3 linked regions of the Styela clava genome follow. The protein of the gene in region 1 purifies or fractionates together with the protein of each later gene. This does not show direct contact. Links are inferred from orthologs where the notes say so. Each region holds a gene or a part of one and is shown in the gene's direction. Other genes may lie near its edges. The genes, in order: heat shock protein HSP 90-beta-like, activator of 90 kDa heat shock protein ATPase homolog 1-like and serine/threonine-protein phosphatase 5-like.

Region 1 (10,115 bases):
ATTATTATCCATCGAAAAAGCTGGCTCTTTCAACGAGTAGCGTCATCGTTATATATATATCATGTTCCAGAAGCTGCCGTATGGGTATTTTTGATTCCGATTTGTAATGATATGAAAATGTAGATATTTGACTTCATTTCCGCCTTAGTGACACGGAGCGATGTTTACAACTGTTACCTTTTATAATCTCGAGTCTAGTTTATTTTCCATCAAAGACGTAACAGTCAAGCTCCAATATAGTACACAAACATACGTTATTTTACAGTAAAACACGCACACCAGCACATAAATGTTTAACGGTTCCGATCGCCTGATCCGTTAATATGAAATATAATGAGTTTTAATAATGTATTCGCAACATAAATCTCGGTGGCTAAATGGTAATTTAGTTGCGCGATATTGCTAATAATCAGATTACGAGGTTTCGATCTAAATAAATTATAATTAGTATTTCTTAAAACACGTGAGAAACAAATACCAATAATAGAATGAAAACGTTATGTGTTTAGCTCTAATTAGCGCTTAACTCTCCATTAGACACAAATTCAGTTTAATGCTTTTTTTAATTTACAAATTTTGGGCATCAGGTCGCGCATACCTGAAATATCATTAATTAAGGAATACCTCTTTAGCGTGATATCTCCAGATAAAACTCAAGCATAAGTCTCCAAAAAGCCCTAACTAAGTTTTGGGTACAAAGAACAATTAGTTTTAAAATAGCCAATGCAAAATATATTTAAAAAAACGTCTTGGATACAAGAAGTTTATTTCGACTGCACGATAAGTATGGACGACGAAAAATGTTTCGATAAAACAAAATTTGTCTTTTCAAAAACACGGGATTTTGTGCACCGAACAAAACGTCGTGCAAGTATACCGAAACTTCACGGAATAAAGTGTTCTCATGAATAAAAATAAAACAGCAAAATTTAGGGTCAAATATCGGATGCATTAAGACTCCAAGTTAATTGCAAATATAATAAAAGTAATAAGATTTTACAATCCAAGAAATGGAAAGAGCAAGCGTTCAAATGCACTGACCAAGTGGTACGACGCTCAAGGTCCAACGGAGACAACGCGCATCACTGGTAAAGACAAGAGTTCAGGCCCCACCCGGATGCAATGTAATGTTAAACATGTTTCCAATCAACAATGATCAGAGCATAAACTTAGTATTGGAGTTGTCTGGTTGGTGCTAACTGCGAAAACTAGCCTACAACTAGACTACTAGTGTATCCAAGCCGAGATAACTTATAGATTCGGTTTGTTGCAACTTCGAGTATCCAGCTACATATTGAAATATTGATTATACTGGGTGTCCATAAGGACTTGAAATTGTTTAAAATTGCAAAGTGAGTTTATCGATACCAGATATTGTTTTGGCCCTCACAGATGTATTAAATGAAGTAAAAATATCTGAACAATTACCAATTGAAAAACAACAAACCTGATTAAGATATATTGAGAACTGACTAAAAACAAAACTGTAAAGGGCATAACCCTGTATTATTAATGAAGATAAAAAATTAAAAAAAACGTTGGTGCAATATCAAAGCCTCATACGTTATTGATGGAAATAAACGGGAGTCCACATAATATATATTGACTAAGTGTGCTTTTTCAGAGATTTTACGCAACGGTAAAAAATGTTTTTTTCGTGGCTGGGAAACATGTTCAATATTGCCATTCTATACTATTGCTAATCATAGCAGTTGCATCAATGTTATTGTGTTTCATGCAATGGTCGTTTCTGAAACCAAATTTGTTCCTGTTAATAATATTACGCTTATTTATAGGGACTGCCTCAAGCTGGCCCGTAGAAGTTTTTTTATGAAAAATGTTACGCTTATACAACACAGGTGTAACAAGGTACCGTGTTTACCCAAAAAAGAAGACCTAGCCTGAATTTTAAAAATGATTTTATTATAAGCCCTCCCCCATAAAATAAGACCTATATAGTCATGTTTTTTATATTTAAAAATCTCATAATTCTCTACTTTGTAATTTTGTTTTTAATAAATGAAAATAAAAGACACCCCTCCTCCCCCCCAAAAGAAGCTCAGTGTTATTTTTCAAAGAAAAATTGAAATAAGATCGTCTTATTTTTGAGGAAACGCGTATTTGGACCCAAATATAACGACACCACTTTTTTCAAGTGGCTCGAGTAAATGGTGTAAACGATTTCAAGACGGGGTTAATTGAAGGTACAAATAGTTTCCAAGTGTGGGGTATACTCACGTCTGGATTTTCAAACTCGTTTCGATCAAGGAATTATCCAGTCAAATTAAATTCTTTGATTAAACATACCTAACTCATGAAGAATCTCGATATCACTGGCGGTCTTAGTCCTTTTACAGAAACGAATCGCGACCGACTATAGAAAATAGGTTGTAGGGGAAGGTGGGCCACGTTGGGACATGGGGCATAGTGGAAAATCAGCTCTCATACTATATCCGGTCTGCGGTTCGATGTTTGAATCCGCCCTCCGGTGGGTTACAACGTCCCCGTAAACGGACAACGGCCGTGTAGAGCAACGCAAGCTATAAGGTTAAATTGGTTTTGGGGGGTTGAAACTAAAATTTCACCATTCCATTTTTTTCTTTTTTCTACCTCATCCGTTTCAACATGACAAACCACGGACTGATATTTTTTTTAGCTTTAGTCCACTGTAAAATGTTCATAACGTTGGCGAGTGGACGTGCTTTCCTAATATCGCCGTTGGAAAGTCTGACGTATTTGTTTTTCTTTATGGAGAACAATGGAACGGGGTTTAGCGGGACATGCCCCACTGGGCACAATTCGACAGTGTTTGAACCATTAAGTGCTTAGAGGCCTAGAGATGCGTTATGTTTCTTGCGTTATGGAATACATTAAAGAATCAAGTATATTATCGGATTCGAAAAAGGAAATAATTTAATTTGTTTACGGAATTTTTTCGAAAAATATATGAAATATTTTGGTTGAACATTGATTTCAAAAATAATAAATCTACAAAATTGAAGTTCTCCCATTTTTTCCCTGTCCGAATGTGCCCCACAAGTGGAGTACAGTGGGAAACTTGGCAAACATTTTTTAAAGCATTTTGGTGATAAGATGTATGTCTCAAATGTAAAAGAAAAATGTGTCTCAACCTTCCCCACTTTCCACTACACCCCTGTATTGGACGATAGAGACATATGAAGCTCATTCCAATTTTTATTGGTCGCAAATTTTCTTTGATGGGCCATGTCCTTTTTTGCAACTTTTCTTGTCAGAACTCTGGAAGGTGCAATAATATTTTGACTATCGATCACACAAAGTCATTAGATTAAAGTCATTAACGGAAAATTCATTGAGGATCCTGATAGATGGTAAATTATTACGAAAGCCATTTTAGGACCATTTTCTGTGTAATGTATTAAATATTTATATAAACGTTATATTGTTTTCAGAATAGGTTTTGTTGCAAATTCTCCTGAAGTTTTTATTAACTCCCCTATTTCTAATTTTATATACGATGTTCTTAAATTGCCATTGCTGTAACCATTTTTTCTTTGTTTGTTGTTTGCTTTCCTTGTAATTTGTATACATTTCTCACTTTCTTTTATTTATTTTATTATATATCTTAGCAAAATTTCGTTTGCAGTGAATTTTTTAATAATTTACGTATTAGAGTCAAAATCTGTTCACCGTCACTACTATTGCTACAATATTTTTAGCATATGCAGTTATTTTTACACGACTGCTTGAAGAAGACGTTTGTCGCACAACAGACGTTGATGGTATATTTATTTTTGTATCAATTTTTGTGCATTTTTTCATGTGACGTCTGACTGAATAAAAATCCATATTTGTTAGAGCCCACAGAAATTTTTGAAATAAATAAAAATGTTAGCCTTCGGTGACAACAACAATCTCTATTCACTGAACATTTCACAGCAATTAGTCCAGTAGCTCAGTTGAAGAGAAAGGGGTCGCGGCGGTTGAGATTTGGTGAGCAAGCTTAGTGCTATTGTCAAAAACCAACCAAGTCTGTCTAAGTTGGTATTTCGGGACCTAGCTAAAAAAAAAACTGGATTGCGCGGCGTTGAGTCGGCTCTGCGTTTCGTCACTACTGTCACGTGGCCGACGCTTGGAAACAGAGGAGGGTTTTACTAAAATAAAGGCACAAAGCGTTATCCCGGGATCCCAACCCCAGTTGGAATAGCTAAAAAAACTCAAAAACGTTCCTCCATTAGATACAAATATATGCTATTCCGCACGGAATGTATAAGCATAACAGGGTTTGGACCACCCTGGTCTACCTTATCAAAAAAAACTCCCGATTTCGCTGACCACTAGATTGTTGAAATGCGATCGTGGAACCGCCACAGAGTGTAAATAGTTCATTGGTCCAATTGTTGAAGAGAAAAAATTTTTTTTAAAACAAAAATGCAGCAACAAGGAGAATACTAAAATGAAAAAACAACAACAATTTAAATAAACGACTCAAAGGCCCATTTCGTGTAAAAAAAAGTTTCAGTGTGTATTTTTAATAATGTAGGTAATATGACACTTGAAGACGAAAAATAAGCGAACATTTTGAAGTTTAAGTCGTCTGGTGAACTAGTGCTATTTTAATAAACACCGATAAACTATATAAAATTCTGTTCTAAAATTTCTGTGGTGCCCCTCTTTGCTTTGTGCCCTAAGCACGTGCTTATATTGTTTAATGGTTAATCCGGCGCTGCTGAGATGAGCTGAAAAATGGTGCTGCAGAAGTATGTGTACCAATATGGAAGTATCTAATTTTGTACGCCTATTTTACATCAAGTTGTGTGAGACGACCACGTCCACAACTCTGTTCTATTCTTTATGCCCATATTTATTCTTACCACTTGAGTCATTAGAAACGAGTCATTAGTAAGCAATTGAGTATCTTTCCTTTTTTGCTGGTTTGTCAGAGTGCCGGCAGTGTGGAATTTCCTCTGTGTTTTAGGTTATTATTATAGTGTTTTATGACCGTGTATCTATGTAATTCTTGTTGTAGATTGTTAGTAGTACTACAGGTTAGCTGTTTCCCCAGTTTGGCATAGCTCTGAGTCTGTTCACTAGTTACCTTGTATTTAACATTTTCGTAACCAGTCTACGTTCGCAGTTTAGTTCCGGTGTGATATCCGTATTTCTATGTGTATTGCCAGGTATATTAAGTGTTTGTCGGTAAAATAGGATTGGTGTTGTATTTTTAGTGTCATACTAGTTATTCGTATGTATTTCTAGGTATGTTTTGCCTGGTTTTTGTATATTCCATTACAGGTCAATAATTCATGACTGTGACGTCATAGATTAATTCCTATTTTGTGTTCCGTGTATTTTTATTTGTTTATTGTATTTCTTATTGGAGTATTTGGTTGTATTAAGTTCTTTCAGGTGTATAATTAATCTAAATAGTTAAATTAGTTACTTTGCTGCAGTTGGAACCGCAAGAAGGTGATTTACAATCGTCATCTATAGCAATTACAGTGTCCAAGAAGCTGGCAGAAAGAACCTGAGTGGTGATATCAATTTTGGTACGCCACATGTGTAAAGGGACTGAAACCTATGGGCGGGGGGATATTCACTTGGCTAACACAGACAGTCCCTGAGCTCGTACTAAAACTAAAATATATAAGGAAAATCGAAATAAAATTATGGCCTAACCTGGTGGTCTATACACATACTACGGGAGTACCGGAAAAAGCAATAATTCTCGCGACAATCCCCAACTTTAATGTAACCAACATAAACAAAATATTCGTCTTGGCAATGCTTGCGTGCAAACGACCGTGGATGTGGCCTAAGGGCTCATTGCAACAAGATTAGGACGGGCGCATGTTGTTTGAATACTAAATATTCATCATATAATGCCATCCTAGTCACATACAATACCGTAAATACCACGCTATCGCACCCAGTGTAATTTTATTTTTGATGGAAATAGGAGTCCGATTAAGCAAGATATAAAATAAAATTGATCTTGATATTTACGTAAGCAAAAACATATACAAATAACATTAGGTACGTAAAGAAATTAATCACACGTACACAACATCTCATGCAAATAATAAGCTACACACAGAATAAAGAATAAAACTTTGATACAATCTGTCACAAATTTGAAATATCTTTGCACTTCGGATTAAAACCCAACCTCGGGACACCAAAGTTCAATTGCCATGAATGAAGTGCTATGAAAACTGTGTCTTCAACATCAGTTGGTTTGAAAATATAAATCTAGTCCCGCCTCAATATTTCTTTATGGCAGTACCAATTGAAATTATCTCCACACCAATTTATGCGCCGACCGTCCTGAGACTTTCAATATATATAGGCTTACCATACGCCCCGCTTCAGGTGGGACAGTCCCGCTTTTTAGCGTCTTGTCCCGCCTTCCCGACAAGTCAGTCAAAAGTCCCGCTTTGGCGTTCAGCCATCAAGCATAATTACACGAACATTTTCTCGTTACTGTTGTTGCTGTGTAGCGCAAAGATAGCCTACGTACTGAAGGTTAATACGTTATTTTGTTTGTTTCGTTGTTTCCCGCTAACATTGTTAGCGAACGTATCGCGTGTGAAATCAATTCTAATTGGTCCTGTTCGGACGTTCGAACGTGTTTTTGAAGGTGTTATCTACAGAAAAGCATGCTTGGGCGAATAAGTAAATCTCAATGCTTGAAAACGGCAGACTATTTCTTTATTCTTTTTGCTGTACATACAAAAATCTAAATTTGGATCTTTTGTATCGTTAGCGTCTATTCCTTTCTATTTTTTCGAACCCTACCAGATATTTAGACAGAGAATATGCGCATGAACTCTCGATGACAATGCGGTCAATGAAGACAGTCGGGATGGCTTCAAATGTAGGCCTATGTAGTGAAATCGGAAACTGTAAAGTTACAGGATCACAGCTAAAGGATCGTGTCTTTGGGGGCGTCCCGCTTTGAAGTCAAAAAAATATGGTAACCCTATATATATTTATATAGTTTTTCTACACGGTCTCTTCACAATATGGACCAATACGTCTGTCTGCATTGGAACAAATTGGTTTTGTCTGCGGAATTGTAGTCGGCTTGGTTGGCAAGTCAGAAGCAGCAACCTTATTTTGTTTCCACTGGAAAAAAACTTTCAATATTTGCCATCTGTCTTCAAATGTCATGGATATGCAAATGACATTGACAAAAGACATTATGTCTCCCATTGTCGCACGAATTGAAACAGGAAAGTGTTCTGGAATCAATCGTAAATTCATCACACCAATTATAACGTCCGTGATAACAGCAACGAATGCCCAGATAAGAACACGACGAATCGTTTTTTGTACTTCATTAGACTTCGAAGTTCCTGTGTCACAAAACAGTACGATCCATTTCGAGCCATGATATTTTGATTTGTATTCCATGGTGTTCTTGACAACCGCGTAAACAAGCAGGCCAAGAATGGCGATTTGGGCTACGATCAACGGAAGGCGCATGAAAATACGTAGGACTCCGTTATCGATGTTGTTAATATTTAGACAACCTTGTGGTACTGACCGCAAGCGATCAAATATAATCAACTTACTTATTATTATAATCAATTCTGATGGAAGTATCGCAAATATTCCCCAACTTAGGCGAGAGATATAATTTCCTGAAAAGATTCCTTTTTCATAAATTATTCTTTGTCTCACCCATGAAAAGAAATAAATGAGATATGTAATGATGGAGTAATACACTTTTGACACAGTATCGACTGCCTTACATAAAGACGAAGAGTTTGCACCCCGAGTTGCCTGGATTGAAACTTGCGTGGATACCATTTTTTGGATTAGGACGCCTAGAACTAAAGTATAAATAATGTACAACAGTTTTGCAGTGAAAAAACTTGTCGTTTGTTTGTTCTTCCATTTTCCATTATGAATACAGTAGACAACAAAACTTGCTAACATCCAACATGATAGTAAAAAGAGAATTGCTATCACTGCTTGTGATAACGTCAGTGTTATATTGACCACATAATCGTTCGAACCCTCACGGCTGAAGTTAAACGTCGGACTCGGTGCAACTGTTGAATTCATGTCCATAAACGTATGGTTAGTAGCCGATACATTGGAATTCCAACTGCCATTGTTCAGAATCTGATTTGTAGTAACCGTTCTGTTTCCAAAAATCATTTTCATTTTCCAAGTACACGGAGAAAAGATAAATGCCTGATTCAATCACAGGGTGGCAAACAAAATGTTCAATGGAAAACAAATCTTGTACAAGGCTGACAATGCCAGAGGATAAACGACAAGGTAATATATATTATAAAACACCTGCGTTAATTAATAATACATTCGCAACATCTTCTTTCCATCAGTAATTATTGAGCATAACGCCACAGGATAAAAACCTTAATTAAATAGAGTAATTTTGTTCTCAAATTTTCAAAAATCCTTTCATTCTATAATTGACGATTGTTCCTTACATATCATCTGGATTATTAATTATTTATTTAGACTGAAATCTCTTTGTCTGCAATATCATTGTAAAATTTTATCTTTTCTTAAGAGGAAAGCGAAGAAATCAAACACACAAATAATGGGAAACGTTCTCATGAAATACCTAATTTGTTAAGACGGTTTTATTACGGTATAACCGTTAAAATGGGGTTTTATTGTTTCCTCGGGCAGTGGATTTCAACTGGTGTTCCAGTTGAACCACATTCAGTCGTTACGTGTCAAATTGTTATATCACAATTTTTCTGATTGTCATATTTATGGTACTAAATCAGTGCTCTTCAACAGGGGTTCCGCGAAACCCTAGGGTTCCGCAACACATGCAGTGGGTTCCGTGAGTTTATAAGGTTTCTTAGGGGTTCCGCGTTTTTTTTTTTAAGGGGAAAGCATTTCCTGGTTCAGCATGTTGATGCGTCATTATAAATATTCTTAGACCACCGTGTCTCATTTAAACTACAAGTAGGCCAACTTGTTGAATAGGAGGTTTAGTCACAGTGCAGAAAAATATTTTCGGTTGTTGCGTCACTTTAGTCATTGTTATGCAACTAACAAAAAAAGAACGCCATTGTCGCACCATAGTTACATGTTGTTCAGCTTTTGTTGGAATATAGTAAAAATAGTGTGCAACCCGACTTTTTAATACCCTCAAAAACATGAGAAAGAATTTTTTTAGATTTCTCTCCACAAAGCGGATACAGCAATTGCCAAAAAAAGCATCAAAACTTCTGTGTCAATTTCCTAATACCTATTTGTGTGAATCAGCATTTTCTGCTTTAACAACTATTAAAAACAAAATAATTTGTGCAAAGAGTGTAGACATGAGTATATGAGAATTGCATTGAGCGCCGTGGAGCCACGATTCAAGAAGATTGCAAAGGAAATGCAAGAACAACCTAGTCATCGAATTTCACGCTTGTTACTCTCTTTCTGTTTCGTTGTTGAAATAGAAATATTTGAATTACAAATATTTCGTGTTACGAGTATTTCGTATTTTTTTTTTTTTCAATTGTGTTAATTGGGGTTCCATAAAAAACGAAAAATTATTTCAGGGGTTCCGCAATAACAAAAAGGTTGAAGAGCACTGTACTAAATAGAAATGATCTGGGAACGTATTGAATTAGATGATTTTGTTGTTTATTAATAAGAATAAATAGAAGACTTGGCCCCAACGAAGCATGCCCATATATTTCATCAGTGGCGGCGCGTCAATAGGGCCAACCGGGGCAATGCCCCGGTTGTTTTTTCGGTATAATAAAAAATATTCGAAAAATACCTCAATATCGGTTGCACAGACTGTCTACACTAGCCATATTCTCCCGACATGGTTCATTTTTCGCTCGCAAAGCCTTCGCCGAACGTTGACGGGGCGACGCCGATTTTGCCCCGGTTGCTCATTGTATATCGTATTCACTCTTTTATCTTCCACTCGCCGCGTTTGTCTCGTTTGTTTTCTGTTTCTTTTACTAAATCATCGGGGCCGATCGGGGCTAGCCCCGAAATTATGACGACACAATGCCGTTTCTTACAACAACGTGTTGACATATTCACGCATTCCTTCTCGTTCGTTGGTTGCCCAAAGAGTTGATAGTTTCCGCCGCACGAATTGATTTCCACTTTAGTCATTGTTATGCAACTAACAA
Region 2 (10,801 bases), on another chromosome or scaffold:
ATTTCTTACACTCCAAGACATTACCAAAATCCTTCACCAGCAAACCAAATGCCGTTGCCAGACCAATCGGTAGACTCCTGGATCGATAATCTCCAACCAAATCAAGCAGGATCCAGAACGGTAAATGATAACATTTCTCTAGCGGAGCAAACGTGTTTATCTTTGAGTTTAAATTCTAAAATGTGGGCTGAGCATCATTTGCCGCCGGTACAAATAAGTCCGTTTGATGGGAGTGCTATAAACTGGCCTAATTTCATTGAATTGTTTTATGAAAATGTTCATTCACGGTTAGACGATGATGGTCAACGCATGGTGAGATTGTCCGCGTATTTGTCGGGTTCGGCGAAGCGTCGTGTTGAGGGATTAGGTACCGCCGGTAGTCATTACATACTGGTTTTAAAAGAATTAAAACGCCGCTACGGACAGCCGGTACTGATCGCACGGGCGGTGCTTGACCGAGTTGTAAATGGAAAACGTATGTCGCCTCTTTCGGCCGATAGATTGCTAAATTTTCACTCAGACGTGCGTGACTGCGTGGTGAATCTCAAAAAGATGTGTTATTTGGCTGACATCAGTAGCGTCGAGAATGTAAGAAGGGTTTCAAGCAGGATTCCTCAAGAACTGAACTCGAGTTGGAATAAATTTGTTGTAGGTTTTATTCAAAAAAACTCTAATCCGACATTAATTGACTTTGAGCAATGGTTGTGGGAAAGAACTGAAGAAATCGCCAATCCTTTTTCTCCAGATGTTACTTGCAATGTGATCAATAGAACTGATTTAACTGACCACGAGATGCCCAGAAGCGCTCGTCGCCGATTTCCGACTCCATTTTCAACGTTATCAAACTTGGAATCCGATTATACGTCATATAGTGACGCATCACGTTGTCAATTCTGCAATGCTCGCCATTCTTTGAGAAGTTGTGAGACGTTTTTCGGTGCGACCGATTATGTAAAACGTAACTTTGTTGTTGATTACAGACTTTGCTTTAAATGTCTTGAACCGGGCCATCGTGCATTTATGTGTAGATGTGATGTCGAGTGTAGTATATGCAATGGGAAACATCACAAATGTATTCATGGAATTCGCATGTTTGAAAGCGTCCCAAGACCAATAAACCGACAGGGTATAAACAATGCGGTGTCGGTAACAACTAGAGTTCAATTTCAGTTGCTGCCTGTTCTGGTTAGAGGAGCTAATGGACGCTCCGAGTATACAGTTGCTTTGCTTGATTCGGCAAGTCAGGTCTCTCTCATTCATCCCAAACTTAAAACTAAATTGGATTTGCGTGGACGTCGTAAAAGGCTCATGTTAACCACCCTCGGAGGAACTGGGGTCTTGCATGACTCGGAAGCGGTCGAACTTTTTGTGCGTGACAAATTAAATCCCGACGGCGAAGAACTACATCTAAAGTCAGTTTTCGTATGTGGCACCAGAATTCCCCACCCTGAAAGAAGTCATAAAGATTTTGAAACCTTCCATCATTTACGTGGATTATCACTTCCTGACATTAGAGAAAACGAAGTTATGTTGCTCATAGGTGCGGACCATCCATTTGCCCACTTTCAACTTGAAAGACGTGTAGGGGGAGACAATGAACCGATTGCAATAAGAACACCACTCGGATGGACTTTGCTAGGCGCAAACAAACGCGCCTGTGAAGACGATTTAATTCATGCTAGTTGTCATTTATTACACGATGATTACAATATCTTGCAACACCAAGTTAAGCAATTTTCGAGTACGGAAGCGATGGTAATGAGCTACAACACGAAGCGCGCCGAATCTATGGAAGATCGCGTGGCTGCGAATGTGAATAGAGCTAAAACGTCTATTGTTGAGGGGCATTATAAAGTCGGCTTTCTGTGGCGTCGCGATACTTCCATTATGTCGGAGAACAGTCTTATTGTCCGTACGAGATGTAGGAATCCGAAAAAACGACTGTTGGAAAATGACGGTCTGAGAGATGTGTACTGCACCTCTATGAGCAAAAACATCAAACATGATTGGGTGCGAGAGCTGACTGTTAAAGAACGTGATACTTTGGGTCCTCGAACTTGGTATCTTCCTCATCATGGAGTTGAGAATCCAAATAAACCTGGCAAGATACGAATAGTTTTTGACGCCGCGGATACATATTGTGGAATCGGTTTGAATAATCAGATATATTCGGGACCTGATCTCATTAAGAATCTGATTGGAGTTTTATTGCGCTTCAGAACAAGATTAATTGCATTGAATGCTGATATTGTAGCCATGTATCACATGGTGCGTCTACCACAGTCGGACACGGATTCAGTCAGATTTTTCTTGCAAGGAAATCTGAGATCCACAACACCGCCTGATGTGTATCAATTTCTAGTGAGAATATTTGGTGTGGTCGACTCGCTATACGTTGCAAAAACCGCGCTTGATAACACCGGGCAATTTTCAATGGAAGCAGTAGAAACGGTTTTTAGGGATTGCTACGTAGACGATTTGCTTTCATCAGAATGTAATGGTGACTCCGCTTTTTCCGACGCTCAAGAAAATTCTAATATATTAGCAAGCAGGAGTTTTCGATTGAAAAAATGGCTTTCAAATTTCAAAACATTATTGTCGAAATTTAACACAGGGGATTGTCGTAATCCTGACGTTGAATCAAATTTTGATTATGTGCCCAGTTATAAGGCGCTGGGACTTCATTGGAACACTAATGACGACAATTTCTACATTGTTTACAAAGATAACCTCAGGAAGAATGCTCGGGAAGAGTGGACCGAATCATTAAAACAATTGACTAATTTCCATGTGCCTAGACAATATTTAGGCGCCTCGAACACCGCTATTTATGAGATTTGCGATGCGTCTGAACAAGCTTACGTCGCAGTGGCTCACTTGCGTGCCAAGAAATGTCAGTGTGTGAATTATAGTTTGTCGATGGCCAAATCAATTGTTTCTCCGATGAAATTTATGTCCGTTTCCAAATTAGAGCTGCAAAGTGCTTTATTAGCCGCGCCCGATATTATAAACAGTCGTCCTTTTCTATTAGCGACAACGTACGTGATCCAGCTCCCCTCACGCCTAAATACACCTTTGGATCAACAGCGCATCAGAGAAGATGGAGACAAACCGAAGCAATTTCGAATCGCTTTTGGAAGCGCTGGCGACGAACGTATGTACCAATGCTGATGACTCGAACAAAGTGGAAAAAAGAGGAATTTATTGATGATGATATCGTAATTGCTGTAGATGACGACGTGCCAAGAAGACGTTGGTTACTAGGAAGAGTTACTTTTAACCGTGTGTGTGTAACTACCGTCAAAACAGCAGGTGTGGAAATAACCAGACTGGTGACGAAACTATGCCTCCTGGAAAATGAATAACCCCTTGGAGGGTTATTGGGGGCGGCTGTGTCGGCGATAGAAGTTTCTTTTCAGTTGATAATATTTTGAACGCTGTTCTTCTTTGTGTTCGACCTGCTAATTTTTATCGATAATTGCTTTTCTGTTTTGACGCGAGTTTCGCGGGCTTTACTGCATCTGACGTGTCACGCGTGGCTCTTGCATCTCGACTTTACGCGTCGTAGGACGTTCTTGTTTAATCTTGTTATGATGTTAGTGGTGTGGTTTCGCATTATCCGCTTTATTGACTTAGCGTGTGGGTGGCTTTTGGTCTCGTTAGGTAGACCTGTGGTGAAGGTATCGTAACCGGGGCCCCATATGACCATCGTCGTCATTTATTGCTGTAATTGTTCATGTATTTTATATTTCATTCTTATTAACTGCTTTCTAAATTTAGTTGCTATTTTTATGCCAATAACGTTATCGTTCACGTTTCCTGTCAGTTTCTTGTCGATTTAGGCCTTTGGAGCGTTATCATATGTAAGTTTATTTTCTATTAACTTCTGGTTATGCACTTTCTTTCCGCCCTCATCTTGTGATTATTGTCATCTTGTGTTTATTGATTATTTCATTTTATTTACAGTCAACCGTTTTACAATAAACGCGTATGACATGGAACATCTGTGTGCCTAAATCTGACACCATCTGATCGGAAAACAATTTTCGTATTCGTATTTCGTACAATTTTGGCCCGTATTTTATGCTAGACTCTCTATTGTATGTTTCTTTTGTCCAGTTCAAACAGTGATTAACAAACTCAAGCCTAAACAAAAGATTTTTACATTTTCCTTTTAAAATTATTGTTCTTGTGTCGTTGTCCCATCTAACGTTGGTTTCTGGCAAGTTTATATCCCGAACGAATCTTTACGTGTTTTGTGAGATTCATTGTAAAAACTTAAAAACATACCATTCTAGCGACCCATACCCGAGCCTCATCCTCTCACACCGGAACATGGACGTGCCATAAACTAACTCTCTATATTACACATATCGTCGTTGTGTCGTATCTCCTTGTCTAGTGTATTTTACTAGAGTTTTATTTGTATAGCCTACTTTATGTCTGTTGTCCTATTATAACGCAGCAGTCCTAAACTGCTGTTATATTTGTTAGTAGGGGTGCATATCGCACATCTGTGTCTTAGGCCAGTAAGGTCTTGAACATGTATTCCCGTCTCTGTTTTACTGTTTAAATATTATGCAGATACTGTTATATTTTTGAGGCAGATAAACATACATAGCCTACCTGACATGGACAGGTATCCGAACGAGAAGCTGTTGCCATGTAGTGACGCCGTTTTGAGTGAGCGAACACGTACTACTTCTTTTATCAATACCTTTCCATCTAAAATCTGTACGTTTCAAACCTTACTCTAGGTTTTGTTCGCTTTCCCGATTCTATAATCAGTTACTTTTACTTTTGTTTTTATCTATTTTTTTATCGTCTATTGCTGATTATGGAGTCGAAATAAACTTATACTTATACTTATACTTTTGTCGACTTACCTCTCGAGATAAATATGGGAATTCTACATTTAAGAAACATGAACAAGGATCCACGATAATAAGAAGTTTCACTGATTAAGCGCCAACATGGGGAGTCATAAACAAGAAGACAGATGATTTGCGAATGTGCAAATATCGTCGGATGTTTTGGCGCAAAAAATTCCTCAAAGTTTTGTCGGCATCGCACATGCGCGAAAACTTGCGGTTTTACTGTTTTACACTTCCTGCCGATCGCTGCACAAGGGGCGCCGTTCCAGAAATTTCTCCTCATTCACATTTCACAGCTGGTCTTATATTGTGAACGTGAATTTACGATGCAAACATAAATGTACTTTCATTGTGTTTTATTTTAGTTGAAACAGCATAAAACTTGTTACAAGCTATAGCATTATATATATTTAACAAATTTTGATAAATGTGTATGATTTGTTAGATTTATATCAAAATTGACGATTGACCAACATTTTGTTATTTTGCAAATATTCATTTTGCATCGTAATTTCCCCATGGCGAAGACGAGCATGCTCATTTCGAACTGATCCGGGAGTTCTCGATGTTTCGTAAGTCGCGTTTCACAGCAGAATCGGTACCGGTACGTCGTTGTTTTGTTAAATTGTGAACGTTTTTTGGTGTTAAACGTGATACGGTATACCGGTAACGCTGTCACGCTATTTATTGTTCAGTCGAGAGCGGATAGTTTTATTAACGTAGCAGAATTGTAACACGTAGGTATGGCAGCCGCAGCGAAGCTAGGGGAAAACGCTGAATCCAGGTTCAGAAGTTATTGAGTTCTGACTCCCTGAAGTTATTACGGTACGATGGCACAGAACGCTTTAACAAGGAAAGAAGAATAGTTAAGATATCCTAACCTTGAAAAAACTTTACCGAAATAAGAATAACATAGACAGACTGACAGAAGGTTTAGGTAAAAAAAAATAAGAATAAATAATGAAATGAGACTTTTTGAACTGGAAAGACTCCAAGTGGTCAAAGCGGATTACAGATGTTTCGCTTCTCTCAGCCTCGGACCTTCTCGTTTACTGCGTGGCATATGCAGATATGGCTGTATGATGATTTCAGTTATGAGAATTGTTCAATAAAACCTGAAAACGAACACTTTATTTGTCTCTGAAACAAGGATGTCTGGCATGGTCGTCAGATCGTGCCATGCTTGTCTTGATAATAATCTGAATCAATCATGCATTGACCATCAGATGACCAAAATTTTTTCCTAAAACTCTCGAATGCTATTAGACTAGTAATGGCAGAATGAGAAACCCTTCTACGAGTTAACAAGTTTTCATTTTTTAACCCCTCGTGGGTCATCCTTTTTTATGGACTAACAGCCACAACAACAACAACAATAACTATAATAGTTTTAACATCTATTCATGAATATTTTTTTCCAGATAAATTACACACTGTAAATAAAAACTTCGTAAACCGAGTTGTAAATCTTAAAATCAACAAGGATCTTTTACTCTGCTTTGTGAATTCCTATCACGTCGGTTTTCATTGATTATTTCCAGCAACTCTGATTGAGATCAAGCTTTGAAAATTATTGAAGGACTTTTGCATTGCAGTCAATTGATCAACTTTATTTTTATTCCTAATTCATATTTCTCCCGCAAGTAAATATGGCAAAGTGGGGGGAAGGCGATCCACGTTGGATAGTTGAAGAGAGAGCTGATGCTCATAACGTTAATAACTGGCATTGGAGAGAAAGTGACGCCACCCAGTGGTCAAAGAATAAGTTTAAAGGTGAGTCATAAATATATGGCAATAAATATAACTTATTTGGACGCTATGTGTACATGTGATTTGTTTTGCTAAATACTTGTTGTTGCAGTAGAATTACCAGAAACTATTTTTTAAATGAGGGTATTCCAAACCAATGGTTGCGACCTTTTTCAGCAAATTTCTTCCTTCGCCTGTGTTGAAACTTGCCATCACACCCTCACTATGTGCAAAAACATCTGTTTTCATAAATTTTTCATTCTCTCGAGGCATTCAGCTAGTTTTAAACGTAACTCGCACTCTGGTTTTTAGTACGTTCAAACGTGCATGTTTATATGGATTACAATAATACTGAATAATATTAGTGAAGCTGCACTGAATATAGGTCATGTTTCGAAATTTTCCTCTATAAAGCAGAGAGCCCCAGTTAGGAACAGGAATCACGCCCCAGTTAGGAATTTTTTTTTAAATTATTCCCAATATCAAGAATATATCGAAGTGACCAATTATGAATAATATTCTGATATTCAAATTTCTTTGGACAACTCTATCTTGGTATTTCTACAGTTAAAAATTTATAATTTAATTTTTTCTTGAATAATTCAGAACTTCTTGACGGCATGTTGATCGGTGATGAGAGTGTGGGATCCTGTACCTTATCAAATATAGTCTGTGAAGGAGAGGCTTCCGTTAGCAACAGAAAAAACAAAATCATTTGTTTCTATGAGTGGAAAATCACAGCTAAATGGAAAGGAGGCGTGAAGGTGGGCGTGTACTTGATTTGAATATTTTTTATCAGAAGTTGCCGATGGATGTCTTCTGAAATTCAGCTAACATTCCTCCTCTATCAAAGATTGATTGGCAAATATCTGCTATTTTGGGAACGAGCGTCATTACATTCTGGGTGGCCAGTTTAGTTCAAATTTTCAGTACTTCAATGGAAGGGAATGTAAGAAGGCTATTACTTTTATGTTTTCAACTTTCCTTTTACCCCCAAAGGACTCGATACTCCACCCAGATTTTTTCTGTGTGATTTAAATTGATGGAAACACTTCTGTATGACATTTGGCCTTGTGCGATTATGTGTGAGAATTTTTTATACAATGCTTCTGCATGTCTTTCGCTCTCAGTAACTGAACTTCTTGATCTTTTCAATTAGATATTAGATCCATGGATGTCACTGCTCGATATCCAGCTTTGGTTCCTCACGGCTTCCCTTCCCCACTTGAAATGTGTGATTATCTTTTCTCTTCGTATTTTGTGTAAAACTTACCTTTTTCACTGGTTGGAAAATATAAACTTGTCTTGACTTGAACAAAGTTCTGTGTGAGCAGTCACTATATGTAACAATATGTAAAAAGCTGCCATCATTTGAGGATTGCCCTCTTCTTTCTCCTCTTATGGGAAGTGGGAACACTTTTATATGACATTCAGTCACGGTTTATTCTTGTTTTCATAGAATGATGCCACAGTCTACAAAGGCGAACTTATCATAGAAAACATGTCGGAAGAATACGAACCTGATGAAGTTGATGTGGAAATCAAGATTAATAAAGAGAATAAAGAGAACACGGTGAGTGGGAGTGGGATTATTTAGTAAAGTGAGCACGAGGAGTGGGAGTGAATACGAGAGTATTTAATAAAGAGAGAAGATCATGGGGAGTGGGAGAGGCATTTACAGTAGAGAGGACACTGAGTTGGGGTGGCTTTCAAATTCAGTAGTTCGCAACCTTTTTTCTTTCGTGGCCCATTTTTGTTGCCCGAAAATTCTTGTGGGCCTTGTTCTCCTAAAACTTCTAACATTAAGAAAAAACTACAGGAAAAATCAAGATATTCCTGTAAAAATGGACACTTAATTAAACGTTTATAATTAGAATGGAAATCATCTCTCAGTAGCAGAAAACAGCATCATCATTGATTGCTGCTACAATCAAAATTACCTATTGTGATATAATTGAAACTAGCAATATTTAATAGTACTGTGGCCCTTTGTTCAGAGATGAGTCTTATCTGCTTGTCTGTGTTTAAGTCTGAATCAGGGCTCTTCAAATGGGGGTGCCTAATTGGTCATTATAGATCTCAACATGAGTCACAGTAAGTTTCAGGAACATTATTAAAATACCTTATTTACAAGAAAACATTTTAAACAGATCCTGACTTAATGAAGCGAAATGTTACACGCTTGAGTGTGCTGTGAAATTTTATTTATTGAAACAAAGGAGTACGGCTATCCCAGCCAGAACAAAACCAAATGTAGACTAGCCATTATGCGTGACGGAACTAATATTATAGTTCATCGGTACTGAGGGAAGTTAAATCCAATTGACCGGGTTTGATATAAAGGGCAAATGGGCAATATGTGTTCTGTTATTGAAATATGAAACGTAGGCGAGTTAGTATTTATTGGCTGCAGTTTTGGATGCATACGAATTTTCTGTATTATTTAATCTGACTTTATTTTAGTTTTTTGGTGGGGCAAAACAAATTGGCCGTACCAAGTAGGTTGCAATGAAAAAGTTTAAAGACCAATGGTCTAAATTACCCCAATTAGTGAAATATGACTAATTTCTCATTCTTTTAATCTCAGACAATCACAGCACTGATGAAAACATTCGGAGTCGTACTGGTTCGTGAAAAACTTCAAGCCTATCTTGATCAACTACGGACGAACTACGGCACACAACTAATTCTTCCCCCCAAAGATGCAAAAGTTGATTCGAAAACTGCGGTTTCAACGATGAAAAATAGTACGAATTTAATTAAAAAGGAAATGAATAATCTTGCAATGAACGACAAGAAAACGGATAAAACAAATGTGAGAAATTTTAGCTTGATTTCAATAGTTGCTCTTAATTTCCTCAAAGAAGTCTTTTTTACTTCTGAGTGAGTGCCTATAACTTTGCTCAGTTGAGTCTATTTTACTTCTGAGTAATTGCCCGTAACTTTTCTCAGAGATGAGTCTATTTTACTTCTGAGTGAGTGCCCATAACTTCACTTAGAGATTAGTCTCTTTTACTTCTGAGTGAGGGCCCGTAACTTTACTCAGAGATTAGTCTCATTTACTTCTGAGTGAGTGCCCGTAACTTTTCTCAGAGATGAGTCTATTTTACTTCTGAGTGAGTGCCCATAACTTCACTCAGAGATTAGTCTATTTTACTTCTGAGTGAGTGCCCGTAACTTTTCTCAGAGATGAGTCTATTTTACTTCTGAGTGAGTGCCCGTAACTTTTCTCAGAGATGAGTCTATTTTACTTCTGAGTGAGTGCCCCTAACTTTACTCAGAGATTAGTCTCCTTTACTTCTGAGTGAGTGCCCGTAACTTTTCTCAGAGATGAGTCTATTTTACTTCTGAGTGAGTGCCCCTAACTTTACTCAGAGATTAGTCTCTTTTACTTCTGAGTGAGTGCCCATAACTTCACTCAGACATTAGTCTCTTTTACTTCTGAGTGAGTGCCCGTAACTTTTCTCAGAGATGAGTCTATTTTACTTCTGAGTGAGTGCCCATAACTTCACTCAGAGATTAGTCTCTTTTACTTCTGAGTGAGTGCCCGTAACTTTTCTCAGAGATGAGTCTATTTTACTTCTGAGTGAGTGCCCCTAACTTTACTCAGAGATAAGTCTCTTTTACTTCTGAGTGAGTGCCCCTAACTTTACTCAGAGATTAGTCTCTTTTACTTCTGAGTGAGTACTCCTAATTTTGTTCAGAGATGAGTCTATTTTACTTCTGAGTGAGGGCCCGTAACTTTACTCAGAGATTAGTCTCTTTTACTTCTGAGTGAGTGCCTCTAACTTTACTCAGAGATTAGTCTCTTTTACTTCTGAGTGAGTGCCCATAACTTCACTTAGAGATTAGTCTCTTTTTCTTCTGAGTGAGTACTCCTAATTATGTTCAGAGTTGAGTCTATTTTACTTCTGAGTTAGCCTCTCCTTTATTAAAAAACACTATTTTTCTCTCCAGGCCGGTATCAAAATCACAACAAAGAAACTTACGATGTCCGAGACTTTCATGACAACGGTGGACGAACTCTATCTGACCCTGACACTGAAAGATCGCATCTCGGCCTGGTCTAGAAGTGAAGTGAAGTCTGACGTGGACGTTGGGACAGTCCTCACTTTGTTTGATAAGAATGTGGAAGGTAGGATTCTGTGAATAAATAAAGCATGACCAGTGTTAACAAA
Region 3 (10,736 bases), on another chromosome or scaffold:
GTTCTTCTATAAGCCTACCGGGAGACCGGTATACTACGGTAACTTCTTCCATTAACTTGTTACTATTCTCCTTTCAGTTACCGGTATTAGACCTATGGCAGGTCTTCATTTAGTCATACTGTTTGTATCTCTTATTACAATTCAAGCGACCGTAACCAAACGTGAAGACAATCATGACGAATTTGTCAACAAAGTAAAGGAAAGTCACATTAAGGTAAGGGGTATAGATGTACAAATTTAGAAATTTTAATTTTTTTTTGAGTACTGAACCATAACTTGGCAGCATCTTCATCAAACATATTACATTAAATTATTCTGCTTTTTTCAATAGAGTATTATAACGTTAATTTATATTTTGTCATTCTTAACTCTGGAATTAGAGTTGAATGTTTATGAACAGTTTTATAGAATTCGACTCAAATGCCAATATGTAGGCCCAGAATGTCTCATAAAGGAGGGGTCGGCACTGTTATAATTAATGTCTTTTAATGTGGGGGCTATTCTTGGAATCGGGGAACTGTGCCATACTGGTATGGGTGGACATTGACTGGACAAGGCTTTTATTCTCAGTTTTTCGTTCAATTCCAGGACGGAGAACATAACGTAGATTTTGACCGTGATGTCATATGGGGGGATGAAAAAAATGATATTGACGACGATGACGCAGTTGAAAATATGTCCCCCCTCGAACAAAAAGAAAAATTGAGAAAATTGGTGGAAAACAGGATTGATACGGATAAAGATGGGTAAATGAACATAAAATTTATAGCATTTGTAAAAAGCAGGGTTTTGCAGTTCCATTCCGTTATTCATTTAAAAGTCATCCCAAACAGGAAAAATAAAAGTGGCATGAGCAGAATGAAGTTGATGTTAAATTCTTTTTATTGTGTTATTTTCAATTTTTCTGTGTTGGATAGGTATATCTTATGAATTAGCTAAACTAAGGACTATAAAGAATTTGTAAAAAAGTTTTGCAGACGTGTAAAAACATTATATACTGGCTCCATATTTGTTGGTGGTGGCTAGTACTGGGCCTTGACTTTTTTTACTGGTACCTGTGATTCATAGGCGTAGCCAGGGGGGTCTGAGGGAACATGTCCATCCCTCCCTCAAGTTTTCAACAATTTAAATGCCATTTTGCGACATTTGCAGTAAAACATGAATTCATACTCCTTTTTCAACACCATTTTGCTCTATTTTTGATCGATTTACTGAAAACCGGACATTTCCTTGCTTGCTAATATTAATTCTTTCACGAAATAACCCAAACGAGATAGATGAAAATCCGCGCTGATATGCTTCGACGGCGAGGTACGTCTGTAGAGCTGTTCTTCAAGATATTGTTGGATATCAGTGACTCCTTTTATCTTACTTCGTTCGGAGCAAAAGGCACGAGTGTGCATCGTATTACGTCATTATAAGAAAAAATTGCCCCTCTTCCGTGGCCATGCTCTTGCTGTGATCAGCAATTCGTTCACAAAACATTTTTGAAATTGAATCCCCTGTTGGCAAGCTTGATTCTAACACTTTTCAAAATTCTAATTCATTTTCTTAGATATGTTTCAATAGATGAACTAGTAGCGTGGGCGGTTCGATCCTACGATTTATTCGAAACAGAAGACACAAGAAACTCCTTCTCTGGTATTGATACAAACAATGACAATGCCATCCAGTGGTCAGAATATGCTCTCGACTCCTACGGAGATGATTTCAACGAAGATTCGCCGGATTTTATCAATCCTCCATCCGATGAATGGTCAGACTTTGTTGCAACGTATAAAAAGGAAAGAAGAAAGTGGGTTTTATTTGAAATATCTAGAATGGAATTTTTATGTGTATATTTTGGGAAAGGACAAGATAGGATTTACATATTTATCCCGGGGAAGAGCAAAGCCCATAAGACGTCTTAATCATATGGCAAACCACAGCCTCTCGTTCGGTTACCAGTCCATGTCGAGTATGGGAATAGTTATGCATGGACTGAAGGCTGATAAGATTGCTAAATCTTATGCCAAGCCAGAGTTTCTTATCTAAAATTTCTTGACAGTTTCAGTTCGTTTTTTTTTTCATTGGAACACAGTTCTTAATTCTCCAAACGTGGTGTTTGTTTCCGATTTGACGCGACACTGCACGAAACTTTGAGATTAATTTATACCAGAACGAAAAGTACTTTGTTTCGGACTTTGTGTCCATATAGCCTATTTAAGCACCGCTCTCTTATTTCTTTTCAGATTTGAAGTGGCTGATCTTGACCAAAGTGGAGGATTAGATTTACAAGAGTTTCAATATTTCAAACATCCAAGACTTCATGAAAAAACCCGGGATATCGTGATCGAAGAAGTACTAGATTCATCAGATTCGAACAGAGATGGTGCAATAGACCTAGAAGAATTCCTCGGAGATTATCAGTAAGTTTTTAATTCAAGCCTGTAGAGCAGTGGTGTCATGGAGCTGATTAAAAATAAAAAATACATAAAAAATTATATATCCACGTATTTTTGTCTTACTATCTGTTATTTGTAGCTTATTGCTAGTTATTTTCAGCGTTCATATCAAACTTTTCTCAGAGAGACAAATTTTCTCGTATTCTTAATTTATAAGATTTTGTTCGTGATGAGTTTTTGGTAAAATTATCACAAAATATCAACTTCAGAGCCCGGTAACAAACGAGCACCCAACAAATTTTTTTATTCTCATATCATAATAATAGTTGCTCTACCATATGTGGTAATATTAGATTCACAATTTCAATATTTTTCAACCTTTCACAGGAAGAAAGCAGATGAAGGCGACCCAGAATGGGCAGTTTTTGAAAAGGAAAAGTTTCAACATGAATTCGACACCAACAAGGATGGACTTTTGAAGGGTAAGACCCCTAGTGAACTGATGACTGTTTTTTAAAGTGTTTTATATTTGCTTTAAATAAAGCACTAAACAAGGGGTGTGCAACAGGCCAAGCCTTTTAGTGTGGCCCTTGTTTAATACTCAGCTCATAGGGTAAAAATGAATAATGAATTTTTTATTCTTCTCGCTGCATTGAATTTTTTTGCCCAGTGGGTTTATTACTGTGAGGTTAAGCAATAGTCGCATTTCACATTTTTGGATGGCCCAGCTAGATGTCAAAATTTCGTTATAATGTCTCGTCAATGAAAATGTGCACCCCTGCACTGAACAAATGAAGTATTGTAATATTGACGAATTATTGTAATTTCATTGTCAATTTGTCGCTATATATCGCATCGCTGGGCATATTTACTTAAAAAACAATGAAATAAAAAACAGAAGCTTTTTTTACGAAATAGCAGTATATAGAAGTATATCTGTAAGCTTTTGTTAGTTCTTATTCTAACTTAATCAGACAAAACAAGGTTATTATTGGCAATTAATTGGAAGCAGACTAATCATTATTTTTTGCAACTTTCAATTTTTTCACTGTTTCTACTAACAGGTGAGGAGATCGTCCTCTGGATGGCGCCAGACAACTCCATACTAGCACGTGAGGAAGCCGAACATTTAATGGAAGAATCAGACTCAGATCACGACGATAAATTATCAGTCGAAGAAATTTTGAATAATTATGTGGACTGGGTAGATTCTGATGCCACAGATTATGGGAGACAGTTATTGAAGCATCATGAGGAACTTTAACCCCTGACCTTTGAACTTAATATGGGAAATAATTCTTGGAGCATCATTAGGAAGTTTAGCCCCTGACCTTTGAACTTATTACGGAAAGCAATTATTGGAACATCATGAGGAAGTGTAGCCTTTGAACTTATTATTATATAAAGCAATTATTGAAGCATTATGAGGTATTTTGATCTTTAAACTTCAAACTTCTTTACCAATACCAATCATCTTGTCATAATCAATGCATGTTAGCAAGTTCATACATCTGAAACAATTTTTGAAATCCACCAATCAAATTAACACTATAAATACTACCGGAAAGATAAACAGAGGCCCGGAGCGCTGAACGCCTCTGGTAGGACGCAACGACCCCAGTAGGTTGGGCACCACTAGCCTGACCTTGAAATTTGAATCTTCAATTGGTTTGCCTGTAGCTTGGCTCAGGGACAAGTCTTTCTTGACATCTTTCAAGTGCGCACTTTGATCATGCTTTTAGTAAATACTTGAAAAAACAATAATTAACAATAACAAATTAAACAATTAAAATAATAACAATAATTTTAGTTTTTCCTTAGCTGAACAACGTTATAGATAATTCAAATTCAAAAATCATCAATGCAGTAAAAAATAACAGCAGTATTACTATAATGAAATTGGTGCTTTTCTAATCCTAGTTTGAAGAAATATTCACCAAACTATTCCAATGAAAGGCTACAGGATGAAAAAATTGAAACAGATATTCCATTTCATCCCTTCTGGGTGAAAGCCTTTGACATTGTTATAGTACTTTTTATACCGATTTCTGTAATTCTATTCGTTTTGCCTAATAAGGAAGGCACTGTCAGCATATTTATAGGGTGTGTCCATAAAGTCTTAAATTTTTTTTAAACATATAAAGGAAATTTATCGATACTATATATTAATTTGGCCCTCACAAGTGTTATCAAATGAATTAAAAATACTTAACAATTAGTGATTATGATTAAAAAATAACAAACCTGGTTTAGATATAATTGACTTCATAACAAATTGAAATTGTAAAGGGACTTTATGGACACCCTGTATATCGTTTCATTTTATATCCACTGCATGCCTCATTTGCCGCATGAAATTTTTTATGAAGAACATTTGCCGTTTCTGTATGTTTGAGACAATAATATAATACAACACATTTTATGGGTGCTGTCCATTTCCTTTTATGCTTTTACTTGGCTTGGTGATGTGGCTCATCTTGCTAGGTGTTAGGAATACGCTCGCGACCGCATCTCTGATTACCGTGAGTGGGTTCGAATCCCATGCAGAGTTAATTATGTGCGAGAGGAGTGCTGGACCCCTCTTACCGTAGGGTGGTTCATTTGACTGCCGGTTGATTACGGCTTCCTCCACAATCAAGTCCATGCTTTCGAAAACCAAATTTGGCTAACTAATCCCATTCCCGACATGGACTGGTAACTGGATGAGAGTTTGCCATATGCCAGTTTAGGTCAATGTTCCCTGATTATGTTACTGGTTCAGTTGTGATGTGGGGAAATAGGTGCACAATAGAAGAACGAAAATCGGATGTTCATTAGATGGATAAGATTTTCATACTTATCCCGATATCCGTAACTGATGTTTTTTGACTGTCTGTCACGGCAGATGATTGTTGCAGGCACTTGAACTGGCATGTTTAGGATTCCGATTTACATATTAATCCCGGGAAGAGGCAAGCCACGGCCTCTCGTCCGGATACCATTCCATGTCGGGCATGGGGGTTTGCTATTGATTAAATTGAATTCTTATGAAACTGATGATGAACAAACACTACATAGATGAAATAGTGGCTTTCGACGAATCTTGTTATTATTATTGTATCTGGGGAATGAAAGGAAGAAAATCCCTGGGTACCACAGATGAGTTTTTGCGTGGCATTTGAAAATTCCTATTTCCTCAAATTTACCGTAGTAACTTTGTTATCTTGAATAAAAATTTGCCTAAAATAAATGATATTAAAACAATTTTTTATTCTTCAAATTCAGGTGAATACAATAAGTTCAATTTTTAATTTTTTTTTTGCAAAAGGCTGCAGTCGGCTTTCGTAAAATAATCTATGGCATTGTTTCGACGCCACAAAATGCTCACGTGGTGTCATTACAAAGACTTTGGCGGTTTGGAATTTTGAGGATTGCTTGAATGAATTATATTATGTCGGAAGTAACAGAATCTAGTGTGGATTCGGTGGATCCGAATGTGGAAAAGGCCGACAAGGTTAAAGAACAAGCAAATGTATTTTTCAAAGGTAAATATCTCTACTCTTTCGTAAATTGCTTACTGTGAACTTGGAAAAAATTGCTAGGAATGGACAAACTGACAAGCTAAATTTATGTTTTTACAGGTCCAAATTGGTGTATCTTAACGCCTGAATAACAGAAATATTATTATTTTAATCATTAAAAAATAGGGCACTGATAAAATATTTTTGAAGTTTAGTATAACTAACTTAAATTTATTTAAACTTTGAAAATATTGTAGGAATAGACAAGCTAAATTTGTGCTTTTACAAACCGAATTAGTCTGTATCCGAATATATAAATAACAGTAATAATATCATTTTATTTATTAAAACAAGTAGTCTAGAGCAGGGCTACTCAACTGGCGGACCGCGGTCCGAATCCGGACCTTTCGGGTATTCAATTCGGACCGCCTCTAATTTATTATTCGGACCGCCTCTTTATTTTGGATCATTAGCCCCACTTTTGAAGTTTCCTTTTATAAAATCACTTTTATAGATTTAAATATATATGGGGAGGAACTGTAACGCCATAATAAACAATCTTGATTAGCTAATAATCATTAGTCGACCGAGGAAGTGTGTATTTAAAGATGCCGAAATATAATTTTTGGAAAGACCGGTAAAAATAGTTGAGTAGCTCTGGTCTAGAGCACTGACTGACTGAAGTATTTTGCCGGTGTTTTGCATGATACATTGATACTGTAGTAAAATTGATACAATTTCTGCAATTATTTTCTGTTTACACATACAGACATAGGGTCTCATAAAGTAAACGTCGTAACTGCTTGAATAATGGCAAACAAGAAAACATGATGTGAAAAGACAAAAAACAACCCAAGTTTATCATTTCTTCAAAATAAAAAATCGATTGCTCGAACACAATATTCAGATATTCTATTCTGCTAGTTGGCATGAGACATCCCTGCTTAGTTGAAAATTGCAGAATTGATTGAATTGGATTTAAACTAAATACCTGTTTCAAGAATCCTTACTGCGTCGTACAGATACATTACAATTTGACATCACATTTTTGATCGCTGTTATTCAAACAATTACAGCGTTTACTTCGCTAGACCTTAGATTCCAATCTCGAATCTTACCTCAAACAAACCACCTCCTGGTCCGAAAGTCTGTGATCTGAAAAGTCTGTATTTGTGGCTATGTTCTTTCTGCATAGTAGTTTTTATGATTTTTCTTTTTTATCAATATAATAAAGCTTACTTTAACTAATGACCTTCGAAATTTACTCCTTCAGAAAAGAACTACGAACAAGCGATTCTCCTTTACTCGGAAGCTATCGAACTCAATCCCTCTGTAGCTGCGTATTTTGGAAACAGAAGTTTTGCGAATTTAAAACTTGAAAATTATGGCTACGCACTCGAGGATGCGAGTAAAGCTATTGCTCTTGATCGAAGATATCTTAAAGTGAGTTTACACTACAGAAATTTGTTGTCTCACTCTTGAGATATTGCATAGTTTGCCCAGTTGATATTGTGATCTTGGCAACCCTAAATTGCGGTAAAACAGGAATTACTGGAAATGCTCTAAAATGCAGGACAGGGGTTTGCAATTTTTTTATCGGTGGGTCATATAACCAACTTAAGACATCTAGCTGCGACAAGTGCAAAAACATTTTTACCCATTTGAGTGTCTTTTTAAACATAAAATTTCGGATTTGGAATCTGGCCAGATTTTATTTAATGAAGAAAAATCTGAGGGCCACACTAAATGGCTTGGCGTGTCGGTTTGTGGCCCAAGGGTCGCCTCCCTTCCTGCTGTAAGAGATATATATTCCCATGCAATAATACAGCTTGACAAATAACTGTAATTACACCTTTTCACAGGGATATTACAGGCGAGCATCAGCTAACATGGCAATGGGAAAATTCAAGGCAGCAATGAAAGATTATGAAACGGTCAGATTTCATTAGCTGGTCTAATTGGATCTTTTGATCAAAGTTTCCGAACTTTGGCCTTATTTAATAGACTGCTAAGAACACTTGACAAGCTTTGATTCTGTATATTTTCTGTAGATAATTTCTGACTTTGATTATCACCACAAAAAATTTGAAATTTTAACTCCGAAGACTTCAGGGAATTCAAATTTTGTTTCCAACCCCCCACTCTGAGGAGTTTAAAAATATGATTCTGATGAGCACTCCTAACTCCAGTTAAAAGTTAAAACATGCCAATTCTCGCAAAACTTTCATAATTCAATTTTTTCATGTATTGCAATGTCTTACTATGAATAAGCAAAGAAGCACTTGTAACAAGAGTAAAGAATCTTTAAATCTCCCTTAAAATATATTTTCTAACTTTTCAGGTCGTAAAATCAAAGCCTAATGATGCAGATGCGAAAGTTAAATACACTGAATGTAGTAAAATTGTTAAAAGACAAGCGTTTGAGAAAGCGATCGCTTGTGATGAAGTTAAGAAGATTGTTTCAGAAACAATTCATCTTGAAGCTATGAGTAAGTTTTGGTACTTTTTTGTCTTTGCTTCAAACAAGGTTTGAACAAGCGACTAACAATATCTGCGAAAATTGATAACCTCGTCACAAAAAAATAGGCCTAAACTATTCAGTATGTTTTTACGACCCCAAACTGGTATGGGAATAGAATATTATTTTTTTGCATGGACTTGATGGTGGAGGCAGCTGTAACCGATCTGTAGATTCACATTGGTGGATTGCCCGGCAATCTTCTCACATATAGTTATCACCGCACGGGATGCAAATCTTTGAACGTGGGTGATCAGAGATGTAATCAGTTACTTTGCGAAAGCATAGGAACTTGCAGTTGCAGACAGAGGCAAAATACTACAATAGCCTTTAGCAGAGGTTACTTTGCTGGCAATGATCCACTTCTTGTGCTGTCAGTCGTATGCAAGAGACCTATTTCTTCTAGTTTATTTATTCTAAATTATAATTATTTTTATATTTAAAGATTACCTCATATCAAAATTCTTATTTTGTACTTTTGTTTCCTCATTTCTCATTTGATTTATTTCAGCAATTGACGACAGTTACAAAGGTCCTCGAATCGCTGACGAAGGCATGACGAAGGAATTCATGTCGGAATTGATCCAATATTATAAATCAGGGAAAGACATGAGATTAAGTAAAAGGTAGGAATTCTCATCTCTGTATCAAGCTCTAGACTAGTAGCATCAGCCTCTTTGAAACCCGACCGACCTGAAATTCTAATTACTTCTGTGAAAATAAAGAAAATTTGGGGCTCCCGAAGTATGCGAACCAAGATGGCGGACATCGGAATGTAACATTATACTAGGTTAGGGTTAGGCCATAATTTTAGGTATGAATACTACGGGAGGCTCTTGGCTAGTCTTCGAACTGATAATAGGACTAAAATTAGAAAAAAATTATCGCCTAACCCTAACCTGTTACCCATGTTACGTTCCGATGTCCGCCATCTTGGTTCGCATACTTCGGGAGCACCGAAAATTTATTTAAAATTCAAACTTCTGTTTATGTATGATTGTAACCTAGGAAGCTTTGCACAAAAGTTATGTTCTCTATAGAATATGTTCCAAATGGTCTGTTTTTTTATATACCACCTCAACTATAGTTTCCCACTATAATTCATTCCTTGCCACCCTGCAGTTTAGATATTGAATATACTGAAGCACTGATGTTCTCCTCTATCTCTTTGGAGAGGTTTGGGTAGCATTCTATGGTAATCATAGGACGACTGCGGCGTATTTTGATAATTCGACAAAAGGCCTTCCGGAAGGTCTTTTGGCCTTCCGGAAGGCCCTTTTAATCAAATAGTTTTGAAACCTGATTTCGTGTAGTTTGATTTTGAATTTTCTTTAGCTTATGGTATTAATTGATTGCCAGTTACTCATGAACACAATCATGGGTTACAATTTCTATAAAACATTTTCGTTTTTTATCACTGACCTATTTACTTTTAATAAAAATTTCAATTTTTTGAAAAATTTGAAAAAAATCAATTTTTTAAAATCCTCATTTCTCAGATAAAAAAACCTTTGTGATCTAATTTTTTCATGTTTATGAATTTCTTGTATCATGTTGTTGCACTGAAAAACTAAAGTTGCTAACAGAAAAAAGCGCAAATACAATTTTTTTTGTAAATTATAAATTTTTCATCAAAAATTTTAAACGATCAGTTTTATAAGAGGGATTATTGTTTAACTATATTCAGTTAGGTACATTTTTTTCTCTAAAAACCCAGAACACAAATACCTAATACCAAAAAAAACTTCAAAAATTAATACTAACATAAACAACATGATGGATGGGAGACCCTTTCAAAATTTTTCTTGAAAAGGGCCTTCCGGAAGGCCCTAAGACCCGGTATCTGGGAACCCTCAAAAACTTCTATTTTCAGTAATTAGAGAATGTACCACTATCAAATAAATAAGTAATATTATTTTAAGCCATGTTATCTGAAAAGAAAGTTACATTTTTCGTTTTTAATGTTAGGGAAGGTGTTCCCCAAATGACAGCTGGGCATTAATTTTCAGTAAATGAAAGACGATCACTCATTCAAAGTCAGCGCCTACTTGGATAATAAAACTTTTGAATTTGAAATGTTTGCTCATCATGTAAAGAATATCATGCAAGATTTGGTTGATATGTTGTCTTTATTAATAAAATATAACATCCAAAGATGAGCATTTATTAGTAGAAAACCCATGTTGCTCTAAATTGACAGTGGTCACAAGAACGCATTAGTTACGCATCTTAGAAACCAAAGGATCCAGTACCCACATTATAATGATGACAGTAACAAATTTCAAATAAGTTTCTGCTACTTGCAGTCTAGGGATATTTCCAGAGTGCCATTCT

Evidence for each region.
Region 2: the proteins of heat shock protein HSP 90-beta-like (region 1) and activator of 90 kDa heat shock protein ATPase homolog 1-like fractionate together in Caenorhabditis elegans (co-fractionation; 3 studies listed by BioGRID, with this or other methods). This does not show direct contact. The link is inferred for Styela clava from reciprocal best matches to the Caenorhabditis elegans genes hsp-90 and ahsa-1.
Region 3: the proteins of heat shock protein HSP 90-beta-like (region 1) and serine/threonine-protein phosphatase 5-like fractionate together in Caenorhabditis elegans (co-fractionation; 3 studies listed by BioGRID). This does not show direct contact. The link is inferred for Styela clava from reciprocal best matches to the Caenorhabditis elegans genes hsp-90 and pph-5.

Annotation. Positions count from the first base shown.
Region 1 is NC_135251.1:21,554,380-21,564,494, reverse strand, and holds the start of heat shock protein HSP 90-beta-like, read left to right. Parts: upstream 1-5,355; 5' UTR 5,356-5,379; intron 5,380-10,115. UniProt on the Caenorhabditis elegans protein: Molecular chaperone that promotes the maturation, structural maintenance and proper regulation of specific target proteins involved for instance in cell cycle control and signal transduction. Undergoes a functional cycle that is linked to its ATPase activity.
Region 2 is NC_135250.1:394,814-405,614, reverse strand, and holds the start of activator of 90 kDa heat shock protein ATPase homolog 1-like, read left to right. Parts: upstream 1-6,278; 5' UTR 6,279-6,523; coding exon 6,524-6,647; intron 6,648-7,229; coding exon 7,230-7,387; intron 7,388-8,082; coding exon 8,083-8,196; intron 8,197-9,210; coding exon 9,211-9,438; intron 9,439-10,580; coding exon 10,581-10,758; intron 10,759-10,801.
Region 3 is NC_135264.1:16,672,727-16,683,462, forward strand, and holds the start of serine/threonine-protein phosphatase 5-like, read left to right. Parts: upstream 1-5,681; 5' UTR 5,682-5,802; coding exon 5,803-5,908; intron 5,909-7,157; coding exon 7,158-7,327; intron 7,328-7,746; coding exon 7,747-7,818; intron 7,819-8,225; coding exon 8,226-8,373; intron 8,374-8,913; coding exon 8,914-9,028; intron 9,029-10,736. Other genes in the region: reticulocalbin-2-like, read left to right, coding at 78-214, 589-746, 1,556-1,795, 2,232-2,408, 2,772-2,866, 3,449-3,648.